Xenopus tropicalis: one gene and its partners. The protein of the gene in region 5 purifies or fractionates together with the protein of the main gene of each other region. This does not show direct contact. Links are inferred from orthologs where the notes say so. Each region holds a gene or a part of one and is shown on either strand. Other genes may lie near its edges.

What was found.
Region 1: the proteins of uri1 (region 5) and ppp1cb purify together in Homo sapiens (affinity purification with mass spectrometry; 3 studies listed by BioGRID and IntAct, with this or other methods). This does not show direct contact. The link is inferred for Xenopus tropicalis from reciprocal best matches to the Homo sapiens genes URI1 and PPP1CB.
Region 2: the proteins of uri1 (region 5) and polr3e purify together in Homo sapiens (affinity purification with mass spectrometry; 4 studies listed by BioGRID and IntAct, with this or other methods). This does not show direct contact. The link is inferred for Xenopus tropicalis from reciprocal best matches to the Homo sapiens genes URI1 and POLR3E.
Region 3: the proteins of uri1 (region 5) and uncharacterized protein LOC496835 purify together in Homo sapiens (affinity purification with mass spectrometry; 4 studies listed by BioGRID and IntAct, with this or other methods). This does not show direct contact. The link is inferred for Xenopus tropicalis from reciprocal best matches to the Homo sapiens genes URI1 and POLR1D.
Region 4: the proteins of uri1 (region 5) and ppp1cc purify together in Homo sapiens (affinity purification with mass spectrometry; 9 studies listed by BioGRID and IntAct, counting the BioPlex papers as one, with this or other methods). This does not show direct contact. The link is inferred for Xenopus tropicalis from reciprocal best matches to the Homo sapiens genes URI1 and PPP1CC.
Region 6: the proteins of uri1 (region 5) and ppp1ca purify together in Homo sapiens (affinity purification with mass spectrometry; 7 studies listed by BioGRID and IntAct, counting the BioPlex papers as one, with this or other methods). This does not show direct contact. The link is inferred for Xenopus tropicalis from reciprocal best matches to the Homo sapiens genes URI1 and PPP1CA.
Region 7: the proteins of uri1 (region 5) and polr2b purify together in Homo sapiens (affinity purification with mass spectrometry; 3 studies listed by BioGRID and IntAct, with this or other methods). This does not show direct contact. The link is inferred for Xenopus tropicalis from reciprocal best matches to the Homo sapiens genes URI1 and POLR2B.

Annotation. Positions count from the first base shown.
Region 1 is NC_030681.2:5,972,041-5,974,786, reverse strand, and holds the end of ppp1cb (serine/threonine-protein phosphatase PP1-beta catalytic subunit), read right to left. Parts: intron 2,098-2,746; coding exon 1,963-2,097; intron 773-1,962; coding exon 668-772; 3' UTR 501-667; downstream 1-500. UniProt on the Homo sapiens protein: Protein phosphatase that associates with over 200 regulatory proteins to form highly specific holoenzymes which dephosphorylate hundreds of biological targets.
Region 2 is NC_030685.2:25,090,252-25,093,751, reverse strand, and holds part of polr3e (RNA polymerase III polypeptide E), read right to left. Parts: intron 2,935-3,500; coding exon 2,819-2,934; intron 1-2,818. UniProt on the Homo sapiens protein: DNA-dependent RNA polymerase catalyzes the transcription of DNA into RNA using the four ribonucleoside triphosphates as substrates.
Region 3 is NC_030678.2:155,277,705-155,281,814, forward strand, and holds the start of uncharacterized protein LOC496835, read right to left. Parts: upstream 2,801-4,110; 5' UTR 2,795-2,800; coding exon 2,772-2,794; intron 1,420-2,771; coding exon 1,345-1,419; intron 1-1,344.
Region 4 is NC_030677.2:162,949,433-162,952,932, forward strand, and holds part of ppp1cc (serine/threonine-protein phosphatase PP1-gamma catalytic subunit), read right to left. Parts: intron 2,566-3,500; coding exon 2,434-2,565; intron 1-2,433. UniProt on the Homo sapiens protein: Protein phosphatase that associates with over 200 regulatory proteins to form highly specific holoenzymes which dephosphorylate hundreds of biological targets.
Region 5 is NC_030680.2:71,279,342-71,283,315, reverse strand, and holds the start of uri1 (unconventional prefoldin RPB5 interactor 1), read left to right. Parts: upstream 1-1,174; 5' UTR 1,175-1,318; coding exon 1,319-1,393; intron 1,394-3,974. UniProt on the Homo sapiens protein: Involved in gene transcription regulation. Acts as a transcriptional repressor in concert with the corepressor UXT to regulate androgen receptor (AR) transcription.
Region 6 is NC_030685.2:488,231-492,256, reverse strand, and holds the start of ppp1ca (protein phosphatase 1, catalytic subunit, alpha isozyme), read right to left. Parts: upstream 2,801-4,026; 5' UTR 2,731-2,800; coding exon 2,676-2,730; intron 1-2,675. Other genes in the region: npipb11 (nuclear pore complex-interacting protein family member B11), read left to right, coding at 3,158-3,162. UniProt on the Homo sapiens protein: Protein phosphatase that associates with over 200 regulatory proteins to form highly specific holoenzymes which dephosphorylate hundreds of biological targets.
Region 7 is NC_030677.2:92,024,917-92,029,112, reverse strand, and holds the start of polr2b (DNA-directed RNA polymerase II subunit RPB2), read right to left. Parts: upstream 2,801-4,196; 5' UTR 2,608-2,800; coding exon 2,589-2,607; intron 2,499-2,588; exon of another isoform or gene 2,422-2,498; intron 1,848-2,421; coding exon 1,775-1,847; intron 1-1,774. UniProt on the Homo sapiens protein: Catalytic core component of RNA polymerase II (Pol II), a DNA-dependent RNA polymerase which synthesizes mRNA precursors and many functional non-coding RNAs using the four ribonucleoside triphosphates as substrates.

The DNA of each region.
Region 1 (2,746 bases), on a different chromosome or scaffold from region 5:
AACGAGAAGAAAAAAAACCAAAGCATAGGGGGAAACGTGGGCGAATTACTGCAGAGCACACAATGGTGAGACAGTAGGTGCAACCCGGAAATGACGGCTAAATACACACGCGCACACACAGAGAGTAAAGGAAAAGCGGTGAACTCTAGAGACAACGGTAAAGTGAAACCCCCCCTTGGGAGCCAGAGGAGTGGGCACCGTGCACTGCTGACTCCTCCAGCACTGGGTGTCTGGGGAACGACAAAAACTTACAATTCTTTTAATTCCTGCGGTTACGGTCAATTGGAGGATGCACTGAAGATCCAGCCGGCACAGCGACTAATGAGAGGGAACTTTGGCTTTCATAATCCCTAAATTTCTGCCCGCCAATCAGGGCTCTTGAGAACCCTCAGCATTGTTAGTGCAGCCATGGAGTCGGCAACGCCAGCTCCGACTGCAGAAGGTGCTTAGGTTATGCTGCAACAATTTGGGGTAATTTTGCCCTTTTTTTTTTTTAATAATTTTTTTTTAAAGTTGGGAATCGTTTACCTGTCTCAGGAAGGTAAATGCATGTGATATTGTAATAGGGGGGTCAGAATGGCTGGGTGATTTTACAGTGCACACTTATTATAAGGTGGAGTTTGTCTTGATGGAGATCACATGGTGCTTCATCCGGCGGGTTTCCGCTTCACCTCTTCTTTGGAGGGTTGGCTGTCCGAGGAGGCGTCACTGGGCGGCCGGAGTTCAGTCCCCCATATTGGTATTTTGCTTTCTTTTCTGATGGTTTCAAAATCTAAAAATTCAAAAATAAAATATCATCACTGCTGCTAGTGTATTTGTAAATTAAGGCAACACAGAGAAAAGGGAATCATTTAACCATGAAATAAACCCAATAGGGCTGTTCTGCCCCCAATAAGGGGTAATTATATCTTAGTTGGGATCAAGTACAGGTACTGTTTTATTATTACAGAGAAAAGGGAATCATTTAACCATTAAATAAACCCAATAGGGCTGTTCTGCCCCTATTAAGGGGTAATTATATCTTAGTTGGGATCAAGTACAGGTACTGTTTTATTATTACAGAGAAAAGGGAATCATTTAACCATTAAATAAACCCAATAGGGCTGTTCTGCCCCAATAAGGGGTAATTATATCTTAGTTGGGATCAAGTACATGTACTGTATTATTACAAAGGAAAAGGAAATCAGTTTTAAAAACAAATTTTTTGATTAAAATGATGTCTATGGGAGACAAGCTTTCCGTAATTCAGAACTTTCTGCATAACAGGTTTCCAGATAATGGATCCCATACCTGTTTATATTATGACATACTTTATATATTATAAAATCTCAACTTTAAAAGGGACAGTAAACCCCCTCCTCTGTTAAACAATAAACAGACCTTGTGCCAAGCGGGCCGGCAGGTTAGTGGCCCATGTATGGGGCTCACAAAGGCCAACCTGACCAATATCTGACTGAAAAGATATAAACCAGGCAGGTCTGAAAACCCCGCCTGGTGAGTACCGCACTGGTGCATTAATAGAACCTTGACGTGCCTCCATAGGCCCCAGGGCCATCGATAGGACCAGCGCAATTGGGCACAGCACGTGGGTGGCCAAATTGGGCCCATATTTGCTTGTTTGGTGATCTTGCAAAACTAGTGGGTCTGGCAGTATATGGCCAACATATACAGGGCAGTTCCATTCTATTATTTTTAAGCAGTACACCACAATGTTAGTTGTTTTTCTCCAACTATTTATGTAAAATGCAAGTTTGAAATAGGAAGTAGCTTTATTTAATCCTCGTAGCTGCTTAATTACTCTAAGTGAATACAATGTTGGATACAGAGCTCAGCAGAAGCCCCAGGTCACAGGGAGGAATTAAACAGTCATTCAATTTTAAAACCTACATTTTAGAAAAAAAATTGAATTATTAATAGTGGAGTGCTGTTACCAAGCAATACGTGCCCCACAGCAGCCAATACCTGAAAAGAGCACATCAAGGTCTCATCGACGCTCATCATGCCCCCGGCGTTATCAAACTCTCCACAATAATTGGGAGCAGAGAAGAGCGTGACCAGCTGGCGCTTGGCAAAGAATTCATACCCATCTTCTACCACCTGTTAAAATAGAAAAAAAATAGGCCCTGGTGATGCCAACTGCAGCAGATATGTTCCCCCTGACAAGGCGAGTAAAGCCGCAGGTCATGGAGAATACTGCAATATACTTGCAAAATAAAGGATATAGGTTTTTCTGCAACAATTCACTCGTGCGGATCTCCTGAGGCTGCCATTCTGCCTGTAAACTGGTGTTGCTGCTATGGCTATCCTGCCATTTAAAGGAGAACTAAACCCTAAAAATGAATATGGCAAGAAATAAATATATACTAAACTGACTGCACTAGCCAAAAGTTTCAGCATGTCTATAGTAGTGAAGATATAGGTTTTTACAGTTGTCAGAGGAGCTCTCCATCTTGGATTCTGTTAGAACTGTCCGGGACACTGCACATACTCTCTGGAGCTGCTGAGAAGCTGAGCTTAGGGGTCGTTGCAAATTATAAAGCAGAAATGAGGCTGGTCTGTCATATAAACGGATGCTACAGGGCTGATTACTAAACTCTGATGCTAATTGCACCGGTTTCTGAGCTGCCATGTTATATGAATCCGAATTATTTACTAATTAGCCTTATACTGTTACATTTATATTCTATATAAACACAGTATATAGTGAGTGGGTCCCTAAGTGCAGGTAAGTGCCAGCAGCCCAGAG
Region 2 (3,500 bases), on a different chromosome or scaffold from region 5:
GTGGTTTGAAGTGGGTGTGGTTTCAAAAAGGGGAGTGGTCAAAACTGGCTTCCATTAGCGACCCTCCACCATGTATGCTAGAGAAATTCCGGCCCTCGGCACCGTAGAAGTTGGACAGCACTGGTCTAAGTAATTAATTAAAATCTAGGTGTGATTAGAGAAGACTGAAGGACACTTTCCCACGAGCTTCCAATCTAGATAAATAGAAAACATAATAGTGCTATCCCTTACAGAGATATTTGTTGACATCCATCACAGAGAATTAGAAGCTCCCTATTATAATGCACTGCAATAATCTAGGAAATTGGCAAAGACAGATGGGAACAGAGCAAACAGCAATTAATTAAAATAAACCTAAATGACATGATAATTTATTAATTTATTTTCCATTTAACTATAGGGCGGAAGTTGTGGTGGGGCAGATGGTGGAGCACAGAATCCTTACTAGGACAAGGCCCTCTCTGCACCAGCAACCCCAATGGTTGTGGGGTCTGCTGTATAATAATTACCGTATATACTCGAGTATAAGCCGAGGTACCTAATTTTACCTAAGAAAACTGGAAAAACTTATTGACTCAAGTATAATCCTAGGGTGGGAAATGCAGCCGCTACTGCTAAGTTTCAATAATCAAATTATTTAATAAAAGGACACTCACAAGTGCTTACATGACTACCATATTAATAAACACAAGGTATGGGCTGGAAAATTAGGCGCATCCAACATAAGATAACCATATGCAAGGTTGTACAGGTTAATATCTCATTTAATTTTACATACATATTGAAATTGTGATGTGTACATTTGTTATTTAATTCTTAAAGGCCCATTTTCTTCAAACTGTGGCATATCCCACGTAGCGCAGCGCGAACCCCCCCTGTTACTAACTTATGCAATTTTAAGTTTACATTCAGACCTAAGAGATACGTTATAATAATACATGTGGCTGTTAGCACCACAACATGAATGGTAATACCTATGCCCAATAGGAACTGCATTGCAGAACTGCATAATAGACAGTATAAGCAGCAATATCACCATCCATCCTTGTCCAACCGGCGCATCAAATACAATTAGCAGTGATCTATTGTTCCGTGTGTTATTACCCTTAATGACAAACTACAGATTTAATTACAACCCATTACAAGAGAAGTACTTAATGCCACTAGACTTTAAGATATGACTAAGAATATGCTGTTGGTGGAAGGGAATATACTTTATGACCCACTTTGAATACCCTGGTGTAGTTGGCAACCTATGAAGCCATGGCACAAGTAAGCACCGTCAGATTAGGCAATGCAACCTCTTATTGTGCCCCCTCCCCCCCCACACACTGCACCCTAACCAGCTACATAGTATTTATATAATGTGTTCTACCCAAGATGTACAAATAGAAAAGTACTTGCAGATAAGCGAGTCTCAGGAACAGCATAGGAAGAACCTCACAGAAGTCAAATAAATGAAAATCAGGAAGCTGTTTAATTGCAAATGGCCATCTCCAGTAGTCTAACCTGTAGTCTAATGTAGGTGATAGCTCATATAATTCTGTAAATAGGTCACATATAAATAGTTCAATGAATTCATGTGCTAATACATAAGTCAAGTCATTGGTCATGACATTTAAAAAAAAAGAAAAAAAAGAAAAAATCTAATGCAGAAAGGAGCTATTTTGTTGCACCATCTTGCATATAATAGCTCACATTTACAGCTCCCACTCCTCCCTTGCACTCTCCTACCTTCTTACTAACAGTTTGCCAAGTTTCCTTGTTGAGGGCTTTTATATTTGACAGCCATAAGCAGGAGCCAGTAGTGGAAAGTAGTTTTTATGGGCAAATAGAAACTCTTTACACATGAGTTGGGAGTTGCGTGTTCCAGAAAAAGGGGGCCAGAATCACTGCAAAAGGGGCTATACAAATTGACGTGGTGTTGGCAGACCTACAGTCTAACCTGTAGTCGAGACGAGGTAAGGTAAGTGTTAAGCAGAGGGTTACCTTTCAGCATAGCCCCATGCACCACACCTGCGGATATTCGTTTAACACAGCGGAGGACGTGCACAACCGAAACGCAACCCCCCCCCTGCACCGCGTCAGCACACACAGACGTCGCGCCTTGCGCGTGCGCGACGAGTGTGAGGAAAGAAAACAGCACAGAGCAGTTACAAAGGTGAAAGAGCGATGGAGCTGAATGAAAATGACTCAGTGGATCACAGTTGCACGGTTACTCACCAGTCTCTGCAATGTCTCAAACAATTGGTTATGCGCGTCCTCCGCTGTGGTAAAGGAACTACCCGGGGTTGGGGGTGGTGTGAGGCTGCACATACGTCCACGGGGGGGGGGGGGTTGGGAGCAAGCGAGCGCAGAACGTAACTACCGTATATATTCGAGTATTAGCCGAGGGTGCCTTTTTGAGCACATTATTGGTGCTGAAAAACTCTGCTTATACTCGAGTATATACGGTATACCATTAATTATTGCTGCAGTAATTTGGGAGTGTCCAACTGCACTTTATCTTCCATCACACAAGCTTCTGCTGCACCTGGCTCCTCCCCTTTTAAAAAGACAAAACATACTTACCGATATGCAACATTTCACAGCAGGTCCACTGTCTGAACTGCATTTGACTTGATCATAGTGCATTTTGTATGACAGTATAAGACTTTATCAACGTCCAATTGTGTAAAATTTGTTTTGTTTATCATAAGTTTTCCACAGTCTGTTCTAAGTAGCCAGTTTATGGTCTCCGCACTTTGTATTGGTTCAGGGTTTAATAGCACCATTAAAGCATTGGTTTATAAGGCAAAAGCAAGCTATATATACATACGTTGAGTAGGTGCTTGTGTCATCATTAGATGTACCATCGACATTTAGAGCAATCTGCTCTCCTTTGCTGCGACAGTAATTTGGACTCACTGTATTAATGGCAATTTCCATTTCCATCTGGAAAAAGACAATTCTGAATGTAAACACCCACACCAGAGAAGAACCTTTATAAAAACAAGTGACAAAACTATAAAAATGTGCATAAACACACATGGCAAAAGTTAATGTTATATTTTATTAAAGAGATAGACATGTTCCTATGAAAACTAATTTAAACATGTAAGTATTAATAGGAGTGTGAGCACACTTTTCCCCAAAAGAAAAGTGGTCTCAAGTCACCCCAACACACTGACATGGCTGCACGTTCTGCAGGGTTGAGGCAGCACAGGGGCGGTCTTAGCCTCGAAACGTTGCATGTTTCGCAATAAAGAATTTTAAGGGCAGAGCCCTGGATGAAGCCCTTGAGTGCCGTTGCTTTTTTTCATTTGCAGCACAGGGGAGCACATGTCTACAGACAGAAGTTTGTGGGCCCACTGATTCTTTTACAATGAGCACTAGATAACTTATAACAAATGGAGCAATCATGGCTAAAAACAAAAAGCCCTAGTTAAGTCCTTTTTTTATGCTCTAATTTTAGCATGCACACTGCTGTAAATAGTACAAGTTAAGGACATATAAAATTG
Region 3 (4,110 bases), on a different chromosome or scaffold from region 5:
GGGAGTCAGTACCCACTGCCTTTCTTGCTATAAAACTAACATAAACACATCTAAAGGGGTGGTTCACTTTTAAGTTAACCTTTAGTATGTTATAAAATGGCCTATTCCTAGCAACTTTGCAATTGGTCTTTCTAATTAATTTTTTTGAATAATTTGCCTTTCTCTTCTGCCTCTATACAGATTTCAAATGGGGGCCAAAAAATATTGCTCTGTGAGGCTACAATTTTATTATTATTATAATTTTGTATTACTTATTTTTCTAAGTAGGCCCCTTAACTATTCATATTCCCATCTCTTGTTTAAACCACTACCTGGTTGCTAGGGTAAATAAGACCCTAGCAACCAGATAGCTGCTGAAATACCAAATGGAGAGCTGCTGAACAAAAAGCTAAATAACTGAAAAACCATTAAAAATAAAAGTGAATTGAATGCGAACTACCCCTTTAAGCTAACTGATCACAAACACAAATGTTTGCAGATCCCGCGTGCGCGTATGAATACTTTTACATCCTAAACATTTTAGGGTAAAAAAAAAAAAGCACCCCCACCCGCACTTTTGTACAGTATCCCTGGTAGTCAGTGGGAACGGCAAGAGGTAGTTGGGAGGTTAACTTTTTACGCCAGCAGCGAATCCACTAAGTGTCACATTAGCTGTAGGTCGGACTGTGTATGGGCCATCTTTAGCCTCCCCTAGTATCATCCTGCAAAAAAAAAATATATATTTTTAAATATATATATATATATATATTTGTCTGTTGCAGGATGATGCTAGCTTACTTGCCCCCCCTTGGAAAATTTTCTGCGGACGCCCATGTTTGTAAGGATTATATGGTAGGGGGAAAAATTTTTTGCTGCGCACGCTGCAATTTTTCCCCCTTTCTCTTCCTAATTAGCATATTTCGGGTTTGGGATTCCTAGATTATAATCACTTACCTATGACTGGCTTGGGGTATTATCCTTATTAGCGCCATGCAGTCATCTTATTGCTGTTCTCTGAATCTTTGCAGTGGCCCTACTCTGTGTTTAAGTGCAAGAGAAGCCTACCTGTCATTTCACATTGAATTACACATTTTACTATGCTGCACATAGGCACAGGACAGGCCTCACAAGAATAGTACACAGGGCCAGTGTATTTTAAGTGAAAATAATAATGATGATTATAATAACTGTATGAGGGGTTTGCACCTCCCTCCATTGACTACCCATTTCCTTTTTTAAAGGAAGAGAACAGTTTTTTCAAGTTTTATAAACACACCAGTATTTTTAATATGAACACAGTTACTAACCATACAATAGTGTTACACGCACATATATCATTAAAAATTGTATAAAGAAACCACTTACCAGCCCATTGGTCCCATAGTTTCAGCTCGGATCTTGCCACGTTTTGCTTCTTTGAGAAGCTCTTCTACAGCTTTCCTGCATCGGCATAAAAGAGCAAGAAATTAGCATTAACAATATCGGCTGTACAGCCCAACATATATAAGTATTGCTACATAAATAAAAATCTACACACATGTTTTGGGGGGAAAGTTCTTTTACACCAATTTAAAGAGGACAAAAAATGTATCAAACGCATGAAATAAGGCCTATTAACATTATTAAACATTAGTATACTTTACGTTTTTTTTTTAAAAATTCCATTATTTCAACAAATCTGCCTCCAACTAGCAGTCTCTTCTTTTGGTCTCCAGGCAAGTACACTGAATATGTATTAATATGGCAACGGCACCAAAAACTGCATGACCAAACTGCTTTTATTGGTTTACTATTTTATTATAAGTGGGCTGAGAGTGTTCTAAGCAAAATCTATGGGACCTACAAATCCTGAACCATGCACAGTGCTTCCCAGAGACATGTAAATGTGCACAATCCTAATTCCATCTATGGCTGCTTGGTATTATACCAACCCAGCCGGTCAAAATAATGCTTGATGTCAATGTTATTAATAGGGAAGAAAGATAATTACATAGAAAGGCCAGTATTTTTTTTTTTTTTTACAAAAAAGTGAAAACCAAAATCACATCTCTAATTGCTGCTTTATTGATGTAGTTTAACTTTAACTCCCACTGCAACAACCAACCCTGGAAGCTGTAATTCCACAATACAAAAAGGGCTATTGGTTGCCTTTCAGTGATATACATGAACCACAGTCTGGCCAGCTGGCTTTCAGTACCAGTAAGAGCTCTCTATAGCCTACGGATCAACACTATGGGGCAGATTTACTAATCCACGAACGGTCCGAAGGCATCCGCATGCGTTTTTTTCGCAATGATCGGTATTTTTGCGACTTTTTCGTATATTTTCTGCAACTTTTTCGTCGCCGTCGCGAAAAAATCGGATTGGTTTTTCCGCCGTTTACAATCGCTCAATACGAAAAAATTGCAACGGCGACGAAATAGTTGCGCAAAATACGATAATGTCGTGTCGGCGACGAAAAAGTCGCGACAAATACGAAAAAGTTGCGGCGGCGACGAAAAGACGGCAAAATTTTCTTTCCAATCTGAATTTTTGCCATTCCGGTTTCGGATTCGTGGATTAGTAAATCTCCCCCTATGTATTCCTAACAAGGACCCAAAAGTAACTGCACCCAATCAGTCCCCACTTCCCCAGCAACAGCTGTCCCATAACAATTCATGTATATATTATTATTTATCCTTCACCCACTACCCAAGCAGTCTCTGCACTATAAAGCGTTCACTGGGGTAAAACATAGACAGCTCACAAGCAGCAGCATGCAATTTTATTTCTATTTCGCATATACTTCGTACCGTTCCAATTCGTCTTCCTGCATTTCTGCTCTGCAGCAAAGGAACCCGGAAATACACTGGCGAGATGGCAACAACGCCAAGCAGCGCAGCGACTTCCGGAATGGGCGGGGCCAGAGGCGTCACTGAGCTGCGGAGTGCCTCCCTAGTGCTGAAGGGAATATATATATATATAGTTTTGGGCAGCGCTGTGAGATCACATGGATAGTAAAATATTGATTAACACTACGACGACTGTCATCAATGGTTAAAAAAAGTTGTGGAATGATTGTGCTAAGTTTACCCAAACTCTGGCGCAAAACCATAGGGGGTTTTGGGGGGGGCAAGTTGGAGAACACAGCAAAGTGGTTCTAGTGTAGGGATACCCTAACTTTTTTACCTGTTAGTAACTTTAAAATGAGTTGGGGAACAAAACAAACTTGAAAAACCTCAGAGATTGTGCCAAATACTGGCGTATTGAGAAAACAATTTCCACTCTGCATTCCTCCCTGTCACTAATGCCTGTAGGTTGGCAGCGCGGTTAAAGGAACAGTAACGCCAAAAATGAAAGTGTATTAAAGTATTTAAAATATAATGTACTGTTGCCCTGCACAGGTAAAGTTGTGTGTTTGCTACAGTAACTCTACTATAATTTATATATAATAAGCTGCTGTGTAGCCATGGGGGCAGCCATTCAACCTTGAAAAAGGAGAAAAGGCACAGGTTACATAGCAGATAACAGATAAGCTCTGTAGAATATAATGGGGTTTTATCTGTTATCTGCTATGTGCCTGTGCCTTTTCTCCTTTGAATGGCTGCCCCCATGGCTACACAGCACCTTTGTTTATATAAACTATAGACTTTCTGAGGCAAACACACCAGCTGTACCAGTGCAGGGCAACAGTTCATTATATTGTAATTATTTTTATACACTTTCATTTTTTGCCTCCAAGCCAGGAATTCAAAAATAAGTGCCTGCATTAAGGCCTCAGGGAGTAACATTAAATGGGATCACTGTGCTAGTCCCTTACTTGCTACACAGGAATGGTGTTTCTCTTTTTCAAAAAGTGCAGCAGCCCAGGCAGTCGGACTGGCCCCCCAGGATACCAGGAAAACTCCCGGTGGGCCCAGGTGTCGGTGGGCCCTCCTGCTCCTGACCATTTGGCCTGCTTCATGGCCATTCCCTATTTCTGAATGGGAACAGAGAGGAGAAATAGTGTAAATAAAAAAGACTAGGAGAATAAAGAGGGTGGGTGAGAAAAAATAGTTCGGAGAGTGGGCCTATAGTCTAAGGCAGGGATCCCCAACCTTTTTTACTTGTGAGCCACACTCCGATGAAGTGGATTAAAATGATGCCTCTGTA
Region 4 (3,500 bases), on a different chromosome or scaffold from region 5:
TTTTTTTTTTTTAATAAGCCAGTCTACACATTGGAAGTAGCCAAGCATTACCTCTAACAGTTATCAGACCTCTATTATTCAGATAGAGGATCTATGATCTGCCAAACTTGAAATTGGGTTTTGTGGATAAGGGGGTCTTTATCATGTGGGCCACCATAGCATAAAGCTAACCTAATAAAGTACAAGGTTGTTAGGGTGTGGGTACTTACAGCATTTTTTAAAGATCAGGAGCTGGCAGTTGTTGGAAGATAAATTTATTTCCAGAGCGAAAAATCAAAACAAAACCGTCTTTGCTAACTTTTCACAGAAAGCACAGTTCCAACTCCAGAATAAAACACCGCACATTCAGTTACCTCTTTTCAGGCAGCTTCCCTATACTCTGAGATCTGGAGTTCTAATGTATGTTACTTAAGTATGTGAGTTTGCCTTTCCCAGCAGCCCATGCTCTTAAAGGAGAAGGAAAGGCTAGTAAAGAGTTAATCTCAAGCTGCAGGCATACCTTCAGTTCTCTCAATAGTGCCCTTAAGTCTCCCCATATTTGTCCTGTACAGATGATCAGAAGCCAAACAGGAAGAAAAAACGCTGAGCTGTGTAAAGAAAGTTCCCATAATGCTTCACTCCTGCACAGACACCCAGACCAAGTGAACATGCTCAGTTAGACTGAGTCAGCTTCCTACTGATTGGCTGAAATCCACATTCCTAAGGGGGGGGGGGGGGAGGAGGGAGTTCTTAGCATTCTTAAGGGAGGGGGGGCAGGAGAGGGGAGACAGCAGAAGGCTGCGTGTCTCTGGCACAGGAATTAGACACAAGAAATCTTTTCACAGAGAAGTCAGTGCAGCGTTTCTGCGAGTGCTTATGGCTGTATTTACATAGACCTTTCTGATAAAGCTAACTTAGTTTTTACCTTTCCTTCTCCTTTAAAGGCACATTTAGTTACAACAAAACAAACTATTAACAAAAAAAATGTATATAAATATAACTTTTGCTTTCTATTGCTCTATAAGCTTAGAATCTTATTAATAGAAAAAAAAACAGGCACAACAATGTCATTAGCATATAAGAGAAACATTTTGTTTAGAGGAGACTTGCTGCAGGTTTTACCAATTGCCAATTAAGCTCAGTGCATGTCTCCTGCTCACATTGTATTGAATGGAAACAGACACACATGGCAAGTACTATTTTTGGCGATTTTTGTAATGCTGGGTAAAACAGATAGCATAGTTTATTATTTTGTCTGCAGAGAAATAAAGTGGACAGAAAAAAAGGTTTGCTGGCCAGCAATAGAGAAGGGGGGAAAAACATTTTATACCAAACATAAAGGCAGACAAAATAAATCACTGTGCAACAAAAGGTACGGTTATTTATTACAGAGAAAATAAAAATTGTAATTTGCTTAAGGGCTGTGGCACACGGAGAGATAAGTCGCCGTTCGACAAATCTCCCTTGTCGCGGGTGACTAATCTCCCCGAAATGCCATCCAACCGGCAATTTACATTCTAGCTGGTGGGATGGCATATCAGGGAGATTAGTCGCCCGTGACAAGGGATATTTGTCGCGGGCAACTAATCTCCCCGTCTGTCACAGCCCTAAGGGTGAAGACACATGGGGCAACTAGTAGCAGCTAATTGCTGTGGCTACTAAAATAGACAATGTTGATGTTTTACTGATAATTGTCTCTACATATGTTTTAGCAGTGGTAATTCTCAGTATTGTCTATGGCAGGGTATTTTCTGGTGTTTAGTAGCCATGAAAAAGTAGTTGCTACTAGTAGCTCTGTGTATCTTCACCCTAAAATGGACTTGGAGATGGTCTTCCCATAGATTAGAGCTTTCTAGATAATGGATTTCCAAATGAGGAATCCCAAATCTGTACTTTATCAAACATCTGTTGGTACAGAGGAGCTTCAGTTCATCTCACAGGTTCAGATGGCATATACAAGAACACACAAAATGGTTGGTTAGGCCCCCTTTGCCAACAAGACTAAAAAGGTAAATACATTTACTGTTTGTAACTGAGCCAACCATTTCTTGAAAAAAGATTTACCATTTAGGGATGAGTAATTTGGCATTAATAGGTTCATTTATCAATATAAGTGAATTTGCCATGTTGCCAATACTATTGCTATAGCTTCCTTAGGGAGAAGAGATTTATTAATAGCTGCAGTGGCCTTTGCTCACCATTAGGTGGAGATGCTTGATAATCAGTTGTTGCAGAGAGAGTTTGCACACATTTCTGATGTCTGTACAGGTTTGACTAATAAGTTTCCAGTCAGAACTAGGTTATTCATGAACGGTAGCATTATGTCTACCATAAGCAGGAAGTGACATGTATAGGTAGACTAGACCAGATCAAACTTGTGCAGCCCTGCTAACTGGCAGGTAAGTGGAATCTACTCTACCAACATAACCACTGGTAATTAAACACGGCACTTACCACATATTTTAAGAGGAGCTTCAAGCTCAAGCAAGATTGGCTGACTGAGGAAGATTTCCCGAGACTTCAGACAGAGCCCTCGAATCTCATTCTCTTGAAGCTGAACATTTTTTCCCGGTTTTGATCCTCTAACTAGAACAAAATTAAATGGTTCAACATAAAGGGTATAATAAACCATGACATTCAATTTTGAAAATAGTATACTAAAAAGGGTTGATATTTTAGAAAAATCACATCCTGTAGTCATGAATATATGAAGCCCAACCTCAATAAGGGTTTAAAATGCTGCTGAGCCACTGTGGTCCATCAAGACACACCACTCACTTGTAACCAATAATCCTCACCCAAAAGCAAGGGTAGGTAGGTAGCCAGTCACCGCTTTATCTGGTTTCTAATTGACTAATATGTTAAACAGTCAGCCTGGTTCTAGCATATTATGGGGAGAAATAATGCAAATTAGTACAACAGAATACTTAAAAAGGATGTTCATACTGCAATGGCACCACTCTATATTGACACTACAAGTACAATTTTAAAATAGCAACCAAGAATGTGAATGACCAATCAATGTAAAGTTGATTTTTGTACCAATGTATTAGCCTCATAGACAACTGCAGTTTGTAGGACTATGTTCTTGCTTGATGTAAGATACATACATAAATACACTAAATGAAAACATGAGTTCGAATCCCAAATGGGATAAATTCGGATTGGATACGATAATTTCTTAAGATCGCAAATATCACGAATATGCTTATGAAAAAATCTCATTAGTCACGATATCGTATTGCCGATCCGAAAGTCTTGAAATTTTCGTACCGAACAATCGTAAAATGCAGGCAACCCTTTCCGACTTTGATCCTTCTGTGCATGATTTTGGAAGCCTCCCATAGGAATCAATGGCACTCTGCAGCTCCAACCTGGCCCAAGGAAAGTCTCCCATAGGGCTCAATGGCACTCTGCAGCTCCAACCCGGCCCAAGGAAATTCTCCCATAGGAATCAATGGCACTGTGCAGCTCCAACCTGGCCCAAGGAAAGTCTCCCATAGGGCTCAATGGCACTCTGC
Region 5 (3,974 bases):
ATAGTGGACCTAAAAAATTAATAAATTATAAAAATCATAATACAATGAATCTGTTGATCTGTTTTGAGATGCTTGGGGTCAAAAGCGCCATAAAGGCCAAATGATTTTTTGACTGGAAAGATGAAAAATATTGAATGCTAAATATAAAACAAATACACAAAAAATAAGTCTAATTAAAAGGTTACTTAATAGAGGTCCAGCTATAATTTACTAAATGTTAATAACACGAGGAACATCTGAACATCCCAAATAGCATTGGTGATTGGCTCAACGCACTGTAGACTGCAGCTGAGCATGCTAATGATCCAGTAAGAATACAGAGTATGTACTGACATTTACATGTGGGAATGTGGGAGTGAAGTTAACAGTTGCAGACGTGACACACGCAGCAGGTGCTAACACAGTATCACAGTAATACAGTAGCACAGAAACACAGTACGAGAGTAGCACAGTTTAACACAGACAGTAGTACAGTAACACAGTAGCACAGTAACACAGACAGTAGTACAGTATCACAGTATCACAGTAACACAGTAGCACAGTAGCACAGTAGCACAGTATCACAGTAGCACAGAAACACAGTAGCACAGTAGCACAGTATCATCACAGTAGCACAGTATCACAGTAACACAGTATCACAGTATCACAGTAACACAGTATCACAGTAACACAGTAACACAGTAACACAGTAGCACAGTAGCACAGTAGCACAGTAGCACAGTAACACAGTAACACAGTAGCACAGTAGCACAGTAACACAGTAACACAGTATCACAGTATCACAGTAACACAGTAACACAGTAACACAGTATCATCACAGTATCACAGTAACACAGTAACACAGTATCACAGTATCACAGTAACACAGTAACACAGTAACACAGTATCACAGTAACACAGTAGCACAGTAACACAGTAGCACAGTAACACAGTATCACAGTAACACAGTAACACAGTAACACAGTAACACAGTATCACAGTATCACAGTATCACAGTAACACAGTAAAACAGTATCACAGTAACACAGTAACACAGTAACACAGTATCACAGTAACACAGTAAAACAGTATCACAGTAACACAGTAGCAGAGTCAGGCTGATGAAAGCTTTCCTCCTTGGAAACGTACAGTCCCCACGTGCATTTGCTTCCTAGTTACGAGATTTCCCAGGTCTCATGCTCGCGAGAGTTTGAGGTGAATTTCCTTCCGTGCCTGAGTGGCTCATGCGAGTGGGACTCTCAGAGTCGGGGCCCGAGAAGGTGGGACCACGGTCGGTTCCCGAGTTCCGGGGCAAAGGGGTTTGCGACGGACGGAAAGCATGGAAGAGATAAGGGAGGGTACGAAACTGCTGAGCTCCAGTGATGTGGCCAGACTTCAGGAAGAGCATGGAAAGGTAAACAGAGGACGAGTGCCATGTTACACATGTGAATGTGGCAGAGCATAAGCCAGCCAGGGCAGAGCGCTTATGCACTAGGGTACAAGTGCGCCCAGCGGGCTTAGGGCAGCCTGTACCATGGTTAATATAGACAGTATGGGCTTGTTCCCCAGCAAAGAGAAGAGCACACAGTTGGAATAAACCACTTAGCAGCACATCACTCATTTGCTTTTTATCACTGTAACTTTTAGACTAGTCGGAGCCCATTGTTTTGTACAAAATGGACTATATTTGGGCATTATGACACAGGGCCATTATGACACAGGGCTGAGCATTGGCCATCAGGAAGGTAGCACAGGAAACTGAGAAGCAAAACAAATAAAGGAGGATGTATGTTATTGAGCAGGATGTACAGCTACTGAAAGTTATATAAGTTCCACTTGCACCAGAATATGCAGCTTAGTATTACCATTGGCGCTGCCATAAAATCTGAAAATGTTAAGGTGTAAATGCTTAATCCCATAGGGAACACAGTACTCTGTCATGTCTGTGCACATTTGACAGGTACCCTGTTTATAAGTTAGGGTCAGGCAGTGAGACGCTTCCAGCATCTTTTTAACAGGAGGGCTACAGTATGCACAGCCATGATCTAACTCAGCCGGTTGACTTTGCTAAGCATAATGTACCACTGTGACCTTTGAGTTGACTCAAATTCAGTGTTGTGCTCCATAAGAAATAAAAGTTACATTGGGCATAAAATTGACAACAATTCAGTAAATAAAGCTTGTTATCTTATAAAATTGCAGTTGTCTTAAAAGTGGCAGGACTTGCACCTTTTTTGAGCAGTAATGCTGTGCCAGCTATTAATGCAAACACCAGAGTACCTCTTGTAGCAGGAACAGTCTAAATGTCATAGGCAGTGCTATTGGTATGGCATGAGGCATGTAAATACCTTCTGTTCTCAGAAGGCCTCACACTTCATGTCTTGCAATGTAAAGGACAATTTGGCTCCTTTTACCTCTTCTCATCCTAACCAGGTCAGTTCCTCTGCTTAGCAGTTCACTTACTAGTATTACTGGAATCGTAGTTGAGAGCAAAGAGGCAATAATATAGTTATCTTGGACTCTACAGTGTTCATTGAAGCTGTGTAAGGGTGAAGACACATGGAGCTACTTAGTAGCAGCTACTTGTAATGGCTACTAAACTCCAGAAAATACCATACCATAGATAATACTGAGAATTGCCTCTTCTAACACACACGTAGAGACAATTATCAGTAAATGATCAGCACTGTCTATTTTTGTAGCTGCTACTAATAGCTCCTTGTATCTTCACCCGTATTGTTATCCCTTTAATAATCCATGCTGAAAGCTTGTACCTGAATCCTTTGCCTACAATTAGAAAACTGAAGAGCTAGCCTAGGAAGGATGTGAGCATAGTGTTCCTAATGGAAGGAGTGAGCAAGTTTTGCATATTTTTAACATATTGTAAATTTGGTGGGCTGTAAGCACAATGACTGAGCATATTTTGTACTGGTGCACATGCAGTGCAGCAAGACAAAAGGGTTAATTTGCAAAGAATTATAAGCTTATATAATGCTGAATATGACATTCTTCCAAGCTTCTGATTAGAAGCTAAGAGCTTTAAATCTCTAAGTACAAAGTATAGACTGAGGTATTTTAAGAAGGAGTTTTGGATGATTCCGATTCTCAAGTCTTCTTACCCTCTGGTAACACAAGAACACAGGCTGGGGTTTATTTACTGACATAGGGCAAGTGTGCATTGGTTCAGTAAAACGTTGCTGTTGATCAGTTCGCTCATTGAATCAGTTTACTGGATGTAGAATACCAAAGCCCTTATTTGGGTTCCTATGGGCTAACATATTGGTATAACTAGTAATTTTTGCTTGTATTGCATCATCTGTAGAGTTAGGGCTAATAATCCTATTACGATATTACAAAGCAGAATTAGAAATTTTCTGATTTCTCACTGTGTATCACACTGTGCACTGTTGCACAGACTTTTTTTGTTTTTAGTGCATTTGTCACTGTATGTGTATCGAATAAGTCATTTATGTAGTTATGACAAATGTCAAATGGCACATATATGTTTTTGCCTTTAAAATTTATGCCCACTTTTTCTGTACATGCATTTGTCTTCTGGTACAGTATTATGTGTCCCATTGCCCATCAATATAGTTATCTAATTTTGCCCTAAAAGCATGGACCCACAGGAGTGGAGACAAATGCATAATCTAGAAAGAAATCCAGAATACATGTAAAAAGTAATTTGTAGTGAGCCTTAAAGGAGGACTAAAGGAATATTGTCATGTTTTTTTTTTTTCTCCCAAAAAACACATCCATTAATAGAGCTTCTCCAGCAGAATCCTGCACAGAAATCCACATTTGTGCTGCACAGAAATGTAGGTCATAGTAGCTGATTAATAACCATTTCTCAATGCAGAACACATTGGTTTCTATAGTGACATTTATTGTGAATATAATTAATTACAAATATGCTTTATATTAACAAACTAGAATTCACAATATACTGTGCATTGTGAATCAGTCCCTAAGCAAAAGGTGACTGACAGCAGCCC
Region 6 (4,026 bases), on a different chromosome or scaffold from region 5:
TCAAACAGCGGCCCAATTATAGGCCCCTCCCCCATCCAACAAGGGCCCAATCATAGGCCCCTCCCCCATACCCCACCCAAAAAGGGACCAATCATAGGCCCATACCCCAAAAAAATTACACCTTGAGTGGAACACATGATGCTCACTGGTACCCTGACCCCACCCCCCCAATACACAGCTTTCTATTGGGCCATTCCTTACAGCCTGACCCACTGGGACAGGGCCGCTCCCCTCAGATTGATAGGAACCCTGATACTGTGTGTGTGTGATATTAAAGGGGAAATATCCCTCCCCTGTGGGACATGGGCTCAGTCAGTTGGGGGGGGGGTTAAGTAGATATAAATATACAGGTATTATTGTTATTGTATACAGTGTAACTGCCCCACTCCCCCCCCCATTACAGTGTAACTGCCCCCACTCCCCCCCCCCCATTACAGTGTAACTGCCCCACTCCCCCCCCCCCCCATTACAGTGTAACTGCCCCACTCCCTTCCCCCCCCCCCCATTACAGTGTAACTGCCCCACTCCCCCCCCCCCCATTACAGTGTAACTGCCCCACTCCTCCCCCCCCCCCATTACAGTGTAACTGCCCCCACTCCTCCCCCCCCCCCATTACAGTGTAACTGCCCCCACTCCTCCCCCCCCCCCCATTACAGTGTAACTGCCCCACTCCTCCCCCCCCCCCCATTACAGTGTAACTGCCCCACTCTCCCCCCCCCCATTACAGTGTAACTGCCCCACTCTCCCCCCCCATTACAGTGTAACTGCCCCACTCTCCCCCCCCATTACAGTGTAACTGCCCCACTCTCCCCCCCATTACAGTGTAACTGCCCCACTCTCCCCCCCCATTACAGTGTAACTGCCCCACTCTCCCCCCCCATTACAGTGTAACTGCCCCACTCTCCCCCCCCATTACAGTGTAACTGCCCACTCTCCCCCCCCATTACAGTGTAACTGCCCCCACTCCCCCCCCATTACAGTGTAACTGCCCCCACTCCCCCCCCCATTACAGTGTAACTGCCCCACTCCCCCCCCCCCATTACAGTGTAACTGCCCCACTCCCCCCCCCCCCCCATTACAGTGTAACTGCCCCACTCCCCCCCCCCCCCATTACAGTGTAAACTGCCCCACTCCCCCCCCCCCCCATTACAGTGTAACTGCCCCACTCCCCCCCCCCATTACAGTGTAACTGCCCCACTCCCCCCCCCCATTACAGTGTAACTGCCCCACTCCCCCCCCCATTACAGTGTAACTGCCCCACTCCCCCCCCCCATTACAGTGTAGCTGCCCCACTCCCCCCCCCCATTACAGTGTAACTGCCCCACTCCCCCCCCCCATTACAGTGTAACTGCCCCACTCCCCCCCCCCCATTACAGTGTAACTGCCCCACTCCCCCCCCCCATTACAGTGTAACTGCCCCACTCCCCCCCCCATTACAGTGTAACTGCCCCACTCCCCCCCCATTACAGTGTAGCTGCCCCACTCCCCCCCCCCATTACAGTGTAGCTGCCCCACTCCCCCCCCATTACAGTGTAGCTGCCCCACTCCCCCCCCATTACAGTGTAACTGCCCCACTCCCCCCCATACAGTGTAGCTGCCCACTCCCCCCCCCATTACAGTGTAGCTGCCCCACTCCCCCCCCCATTACAGTGTAACTGCCCCCACTCCCCCCCCCCCATTACAGTGTAACTGCCCCACTCCCCCCCCCATTACAGTGTAACTGCCCCACTCCCCCCCCCATTACAGTGTAACTGCCCCACTCCCCCCCCATTACAGTGTAACTGCCCCACTCCCCCCCCCATTACAGTGTAACTGCCCCACTCCCCCCCCCATTACAGTGTAACTGCCCCACTCCCCCCCCCATTACAGTGTAACTGCCCCACTCCCCCCCCCATTACAGTGTAACTGCCCCACTCCCCCCCCCATTACAGTGTAACTGCCCCACTCCCCCCCCATTACAGTGTAACTGCCCCACTCCCCCCCCCCATTACAGTGTAACTGCCCCACTCCCCCCCCCCATTACAGTGTAACTGCCCCACTCCCCCCCCCATTACAGTGTAACTGCCCCACTCCCCCCCCCCATTACAGTGTAACTGCCCCACTCCCCCCCCCCATTACAGTGTAACTGCCCCACTCCCCCCCCCATTACAGTGTAACTGCCCCACTCCCCCCCCCATTACAGTGTAACTGCCCCACTCCCCCCCCATTACAGTGTAGCTGCCCCACTCCCCCCCCCATTACAGTGTAACTGCCCCACTCCCCCCCCCATTACAGTGTAACTGCCCCACTCCCCCCCCCATTACAGTGTAACTGCCCCACTCCCCCCCCCCATTACAGTGTAACTGCCCCACTCCCCCCCCCATTACAGTGTAACTGCCCCACTCCCCCCCCCCATTACAGTGTAACTGCCCCACTCCCCCCCCCCCATTACAGGTGTAACTGCCCCACTCCCCCCCCCCATTACAGTGTAACTGCCCCACTCACTCCCCCCTCCCCATTACAGTGTAACTGCCCCACTCCCCCCCCCCCCCATTACAGTGTAACTGCCCCACTCCCCCCCCCCCCCATTACAGTGTAACTGCCCCACTCACTCCCCCCCCCCCCCCATTACAGTGTAACTGCCCCACTCCCGGTTGGGCCCCCGCTAACCCCTCCCGGCATGCCCCGGGGCTCACCCTCCAGGAGCCGTTGGATAATGGAGTCAATATTGAGTTTTTCTCCGTCCCCCATCGGTGTCTGTGTGCGAGGAAGAAGCGGACGCGGTAGGCGGAGCTAAGTACTAGCAAGTCACGTGTTTTCTCGCCGCCGGGTAATGACGCAAACACGCTAACGCCGCGCCCCGCCTCTCTTGTAAACGGAGGATTTGGATTGCGCAGGCGTGAAATTTCCTAGCGGCTACTGATTGGTTGGCAGTGAGCTAAGAATTCGAACTACGCCACGCCTTTTCCGCTGCGTAAAAGGGTGTGGCTACACAGCTGCACAGGAAGGCGCTGATTGGTTGGCTGGGAAACGGCAAACTCCTAGCCTATAGATCTGCGGCCGGTGACGTCAGTAGCGAGCGGGTCCTATTATTGCGCGGTTCCGCCCGTATCCTTGGCAACCGCTGCTAGAACAACAGTCAGCCGGGGGAGGGAGGGGTGCGGAAGCCTGAACGGAAATGACGTAACATACCCCTAGAGAGCGGAACGCCGCCCTTTACCGAACTACCGGTCCCAGCAGCCCCCGGTAGCCATGGCAACCCCCCCCCCTTCTTCTTCCCCCAATAGGCTGTATCTACTCATCTCCCTCAGCCCGAACCCATCCTTCCTCTGCTATGGGACAGCTCTATGGCATCTCTATGGCTCAGTGTTGGGGTGTCAGGCAGCTCTATGGCTCAGTGTTGGGGTGTCAGGCAGCTCTGTGGCTCAGTGTTGGGGTGTCAGGCAGCTCTATGGCTCAGTGTTGGGGTGTCAGGCATCTCTATGGCTCAGTGTTGGGGTGTCAGGCATCTCTATGGCTCAGTGTTGGGGTGTCAGGCATCTCTATGGCTCAGTGTTGGGGTGTCAGGCATCTCTGTGGCTCAGTGTTGGGGTGTCAGGCAGCTCTATGGCTCAGTGTTGGGGTGTCAGGCATCTCTGTGGCTCAGTGTTGGGGTGTCAGGCAGCTCTGTGGCTCAGTGTTGGGGTGTCAGGCATCTCTGTGGCTCAGTGTTGGGGTGTCAGGCATCTCTGTGGCTCAGTGTTGGGGTGTCAGGCATCTCTGTGGCTCAGTGTTGGGGTGTCAGGCATCTCTGTGGCTCAGTGTTGGGGTGTCAGGCATCTCTGTGGCTCAGTGTTGGGGTGTCAGGCAGCTCTATGGCTCAGTGTTGGGTGTCAGGCATCTCTGTGGCTCAGTGTTGGGGTGTCAGGCATCTCTATGGCTCAGTGTTGGGATGTCAGGCATCTCTGTGGCTCAGTGTTGGGGTGTCAGCATCTCTATGGTTCAGTGTTGGGTGTCAGGCATCTCTATGGGCTCAGTGTTGGGGTGTCAGGCATCTCTGTGGCTCAG
Region 7 (4,196 bases), on a different chromosome or scaffold from region 5:
GAAAATGCATGTAAAGCATTACAAGTTTGTGTTACAAAACAGAATATGTACTATAATGCAACAAGATTTAGAAAGAAGCTGCAGATAAAGCTGGCTGCTTCTCCAGTAAAAAAAAACTAAAAAAAAAACACATATGCGCAAAAGATCTAGAGGTGCAGAAGATTAGTTATCACAACACTGGTTCATCCAGACCAATCTGGTTTTATCCCCTCCAAATCCACGGCCATCAATATAAGAATTGATTTCTTATATTTAATTTACAAATAGCACATGACAATGGTGGAACACGCTTAGTGGCATCCATTGACACCGTTATAGCATTCAATTCCATGGAATGGCCATACCTACGGCAAGTATGATGTACAGTAAACCCACAGAGAATTAAACCCCTCTATCCCCTCTCCTGTTTGTCTGATTAGGAGAGCTATGGGTTTTATTGCCAGAGCAAACCCCCCAGGTTCAGGGACTAAAATATTAAGGCGGAGAAGATCTCCCTTTATGCTGATGATACCCTCCTATACATAGCAAACCCAGGAAACTCCATGTCAACAACTATATTTTCTCCAGACATAAAACAGAAAAAATATGACCCCAGACCCAGGGTTAAACTAAAGTGGGAGGAGAGCGGTCTTCACAATTCAACTCAATTATGCACCATACCTACCTAACACCAAAGAATCTGCACTTAATGGGTCACGCAGAGCACTCCAGATGCATTTGCTGCAATGTCTCTGATGCTGACTTCATACATTTATTATGGTACTATCTGGATTTCAGAGGTTCTGGAGATAAGTCATACACTCTCAGATGTACTCTCCTAACTTAAAGTTTTAATGCCATTTATATGTCTGTTGGGTTTGTTATCCAGGACTGCCTCCAGACTACTTATGCGAACACTTTTGTTTTACGCCAACAAAACAGTTGCCCTACACTGGAGGAGTCCTTCTCCTCCATCACTCCATAAATGGATAAAACTGGTATATTCCTGGCTGGAGCTCTACAGATTAACCTACCAGGCCAGAGGATGTCTGCATAAGTTCGAGAAGATATGGAATTATTGGCTTAACTCGTCTGTAACTTAAGTCTCCTAAATGCACACTCCAACTTCTACCTCTCTTCCTTCTCCCATTATATGTTATTAATTAATAAAAAGTTACTTTTAAAAAAAAATGCTGTTACCACTGGGCTGACAATGACTAAACTAACAACACATGGGCATGTTTTCTGAGGCTTATTTACTTTTAAAAGAAAACAATCAAGAAAAAAAGTTTCCAAGGTGCTTTTTTGTCCTTACGACATCCAGTCCAATCCAAATATATATTAATCTTTATTGCTATAATATCTGCATGATTACTAGTGGATCTATAAGCATGTTGGAAAGTGTCTTAACATACTTCACAGTCCAGTGGAACCACCCAAACTCAATCACAAAGACCATATTAATGTGATAGAGCCTTTCATAGGCGACTATGTGCCACCCTGGTGCTATGTTCCTGATGCCATTTTTCTGCATTACTACTGCAGAACATGATTGGAATCTGCACTAGAAAAGCTAACATTTCTAGTTAAAGTACCAGTATTTAGTTACCAGGGTTTGATTTCTGCTGCCCCTTCTGCTCAGAAACATGGTTTTCTGAGACAAGGTTCTGTGTAAATATTTTTACATCTATATCAAGTAACATGTCAGGCAGTTAACTATTAACATATATCTACCAAAATGAGAATTCTTGTTGTGTCATAAGCAAAATAAAAAATACAAACCAAACAGTCTTACCTAATAACAATCCAACATGCCTCCTGCCACAGGTCTGGAGTGATTTCATCATCATCTTCATCATACTGCATATCTAGCAAAGCAAAATATAATTATGTAGGAGTAAAACATCTTTTACACCATCCCCTTTAAAAGTAACCAACAGAATGGGTAGCCTTCACAAAACATATGTTTTTTTACTTAGTTAATAATACTAATTAACAGTATAGTTAATTAATAGTACTTTCTAAGTTTTTCTAAAATTTAAGTTTAAATAGGAAATACTCTATTTCCCAACTCTCATGTTTCCCAGGACCACTTGGTAAGCCAGTCTGCCAACTTTTTACAGATTGATTATATAGGTTTCACAGCAGTTCTAGGGAAATGCCAGAAACTAATCTTAAAGTAGAGGGAAAGTTTAAATCACTGGGCAACTGATAGGCAGGTGCTCCTGTGCTCCAGAAGGCACATGCCTGCATGTCTGCACCCCAATGAAATTAAGATGAAGAAAGATTGAGTTTAGAATTTTTGCAGAAATACCCTGGGGCAGTGCAGTTTTCTGCTAACACAAGACAGGTGTATCATGTAAGCTATTACAATCAGTTGGGGGATGCCTAACATTTAGAATATCTTGCAAATATTATCAATACAGACAAGCTGGTACTTACATAAAGAAATGCCAAATGCTTGAAGGATGGTAACATCGTCTGAAAATGCCAATGCCTTACCAATCACAATCTAAAACCTATTAAACCATGATTTACTTCATTTGTTGGCGACAACAGGTAGCGAAAAGAGAAAAAGCATTGTGTCGAACAAGATACAGCGCCCTTACCTTCATCAGCATCGTACATTTTGAGAGAGTATAAGTCACAGTATATACTAGGAACAAATATGCTAAACCTTCAACGCGCTGCAAACAATCAGGATCGCCACTGCGTGAAGAGACCGCTTGAGTTTTGGAACAAGAAGTGACGAAAACAAAACTCATCAACACTGCTTCCGGTTTCAGAACAGGAAGTGACGAGAAAGACAATGCGCTATTTTTTCACATTTCTCTAACGCCAATGTTTTCGGGTGGTTGCAGCTAGTTCCTTATCCTCTGTAAGAACATTGCGGCATCACGTGACAATACCATGTGATCGCACTTTCGAGGCTAAGGCTATGTTTTAGCGGCAGATTGAAAAGAATCAAATTCTGCAAATGAGATCTTGGCTGGCTCAGGGAGATGTATGGAGAGAGAACACTTAAGGGAACATACTGTACTGTAAACACTTAATCCTCAGTGAACTGTTATGCGGGAACATATGAGGCTCATTTACCAAAATTGGGAAAATTTGCTTGTGGGCAGTAACCTTGTGGGCGTTTTTTAGCCAGCTGCATGTGGAACAATGAAAGAAACAATTTGATTTGTTGCCATGGTTGCTACCTATGGCCAACTTTGCTGGGTGTTGATAAATGAGTACTGCATACCCCCCAACTTTGAAAAGCAGAAGGAGGGACAAAAATATCTGCCACGCGTAGCGCGGCACAATTGTTAGGCCACACCCACTTTTGGCCACGCCCCCACCCAAACAGGCCCATTTTACAAAACCACGCCTGAAAAGCATAACATACACAAAGCGCACCATAAGACAGACACGGTGGCCCCAATCATTTTATGACATATTGTGGCCCTAAGGATTTCATTATGCACTATGGCACCTGTATTTAATGACAGACTCATGACGGACATAGGTAGGCAGGGCCCCCTAAAATATAGGTAGCCAGGTGTTATATTTTGCATTGGTGCTAGAGCAGGGACCCCCTAAAATACTGCTGGTCCTCCCCCGGTGTCCCCATACTATGGGCCGCTCCCAACTGCAGCATCCTCCCCAACATCCTTCAGCTCCCCCCAGCATCCACCCAACATCCTCCAGCTTCCCCCAGCATCCCACCCAACATCCTCCAGCTGCCCCTTCCCTTCCTCCAGCTCCTCCCAGCGTCCTCCCCAACATCCTTCAGCTTCCCCCATCGTCCTCCCCAACATCCTTCAGCTTCCCCCAGCGTCCTCCCCAACATCCTCCAGCTCCCCCCAGCGTCCTCCCCAACATCCTTCAGCACCTCCCAGTGTCCTCCCCAACATCCTTCAGCTTCCCCCAGCATCCACCCAACATCCTCCAGCTCCCCCCAGCGTCCTCCCCAACATTCTTCAGCTGCCCCTTACCTTCCTCCAGCTCCGCCCAGCGTCCTCCCCAACATCCTTCAGCTCCCCCCAACATCCTTCAGCTCCCCCCAGCATCCTCCCCAACATCCTTCAGCTCCCCCCAGCATCCACCCAACATCCTCCAGCTTCCCCCAGCATCCCACCCAACATCCTCCAGCTGCCCCTTCCCTTCCTCCAGCTCCTCCCAGCGTCCTCCCCAACATCCTTCAGCTTCCCCCAGCGTCCTCCCCAACATCC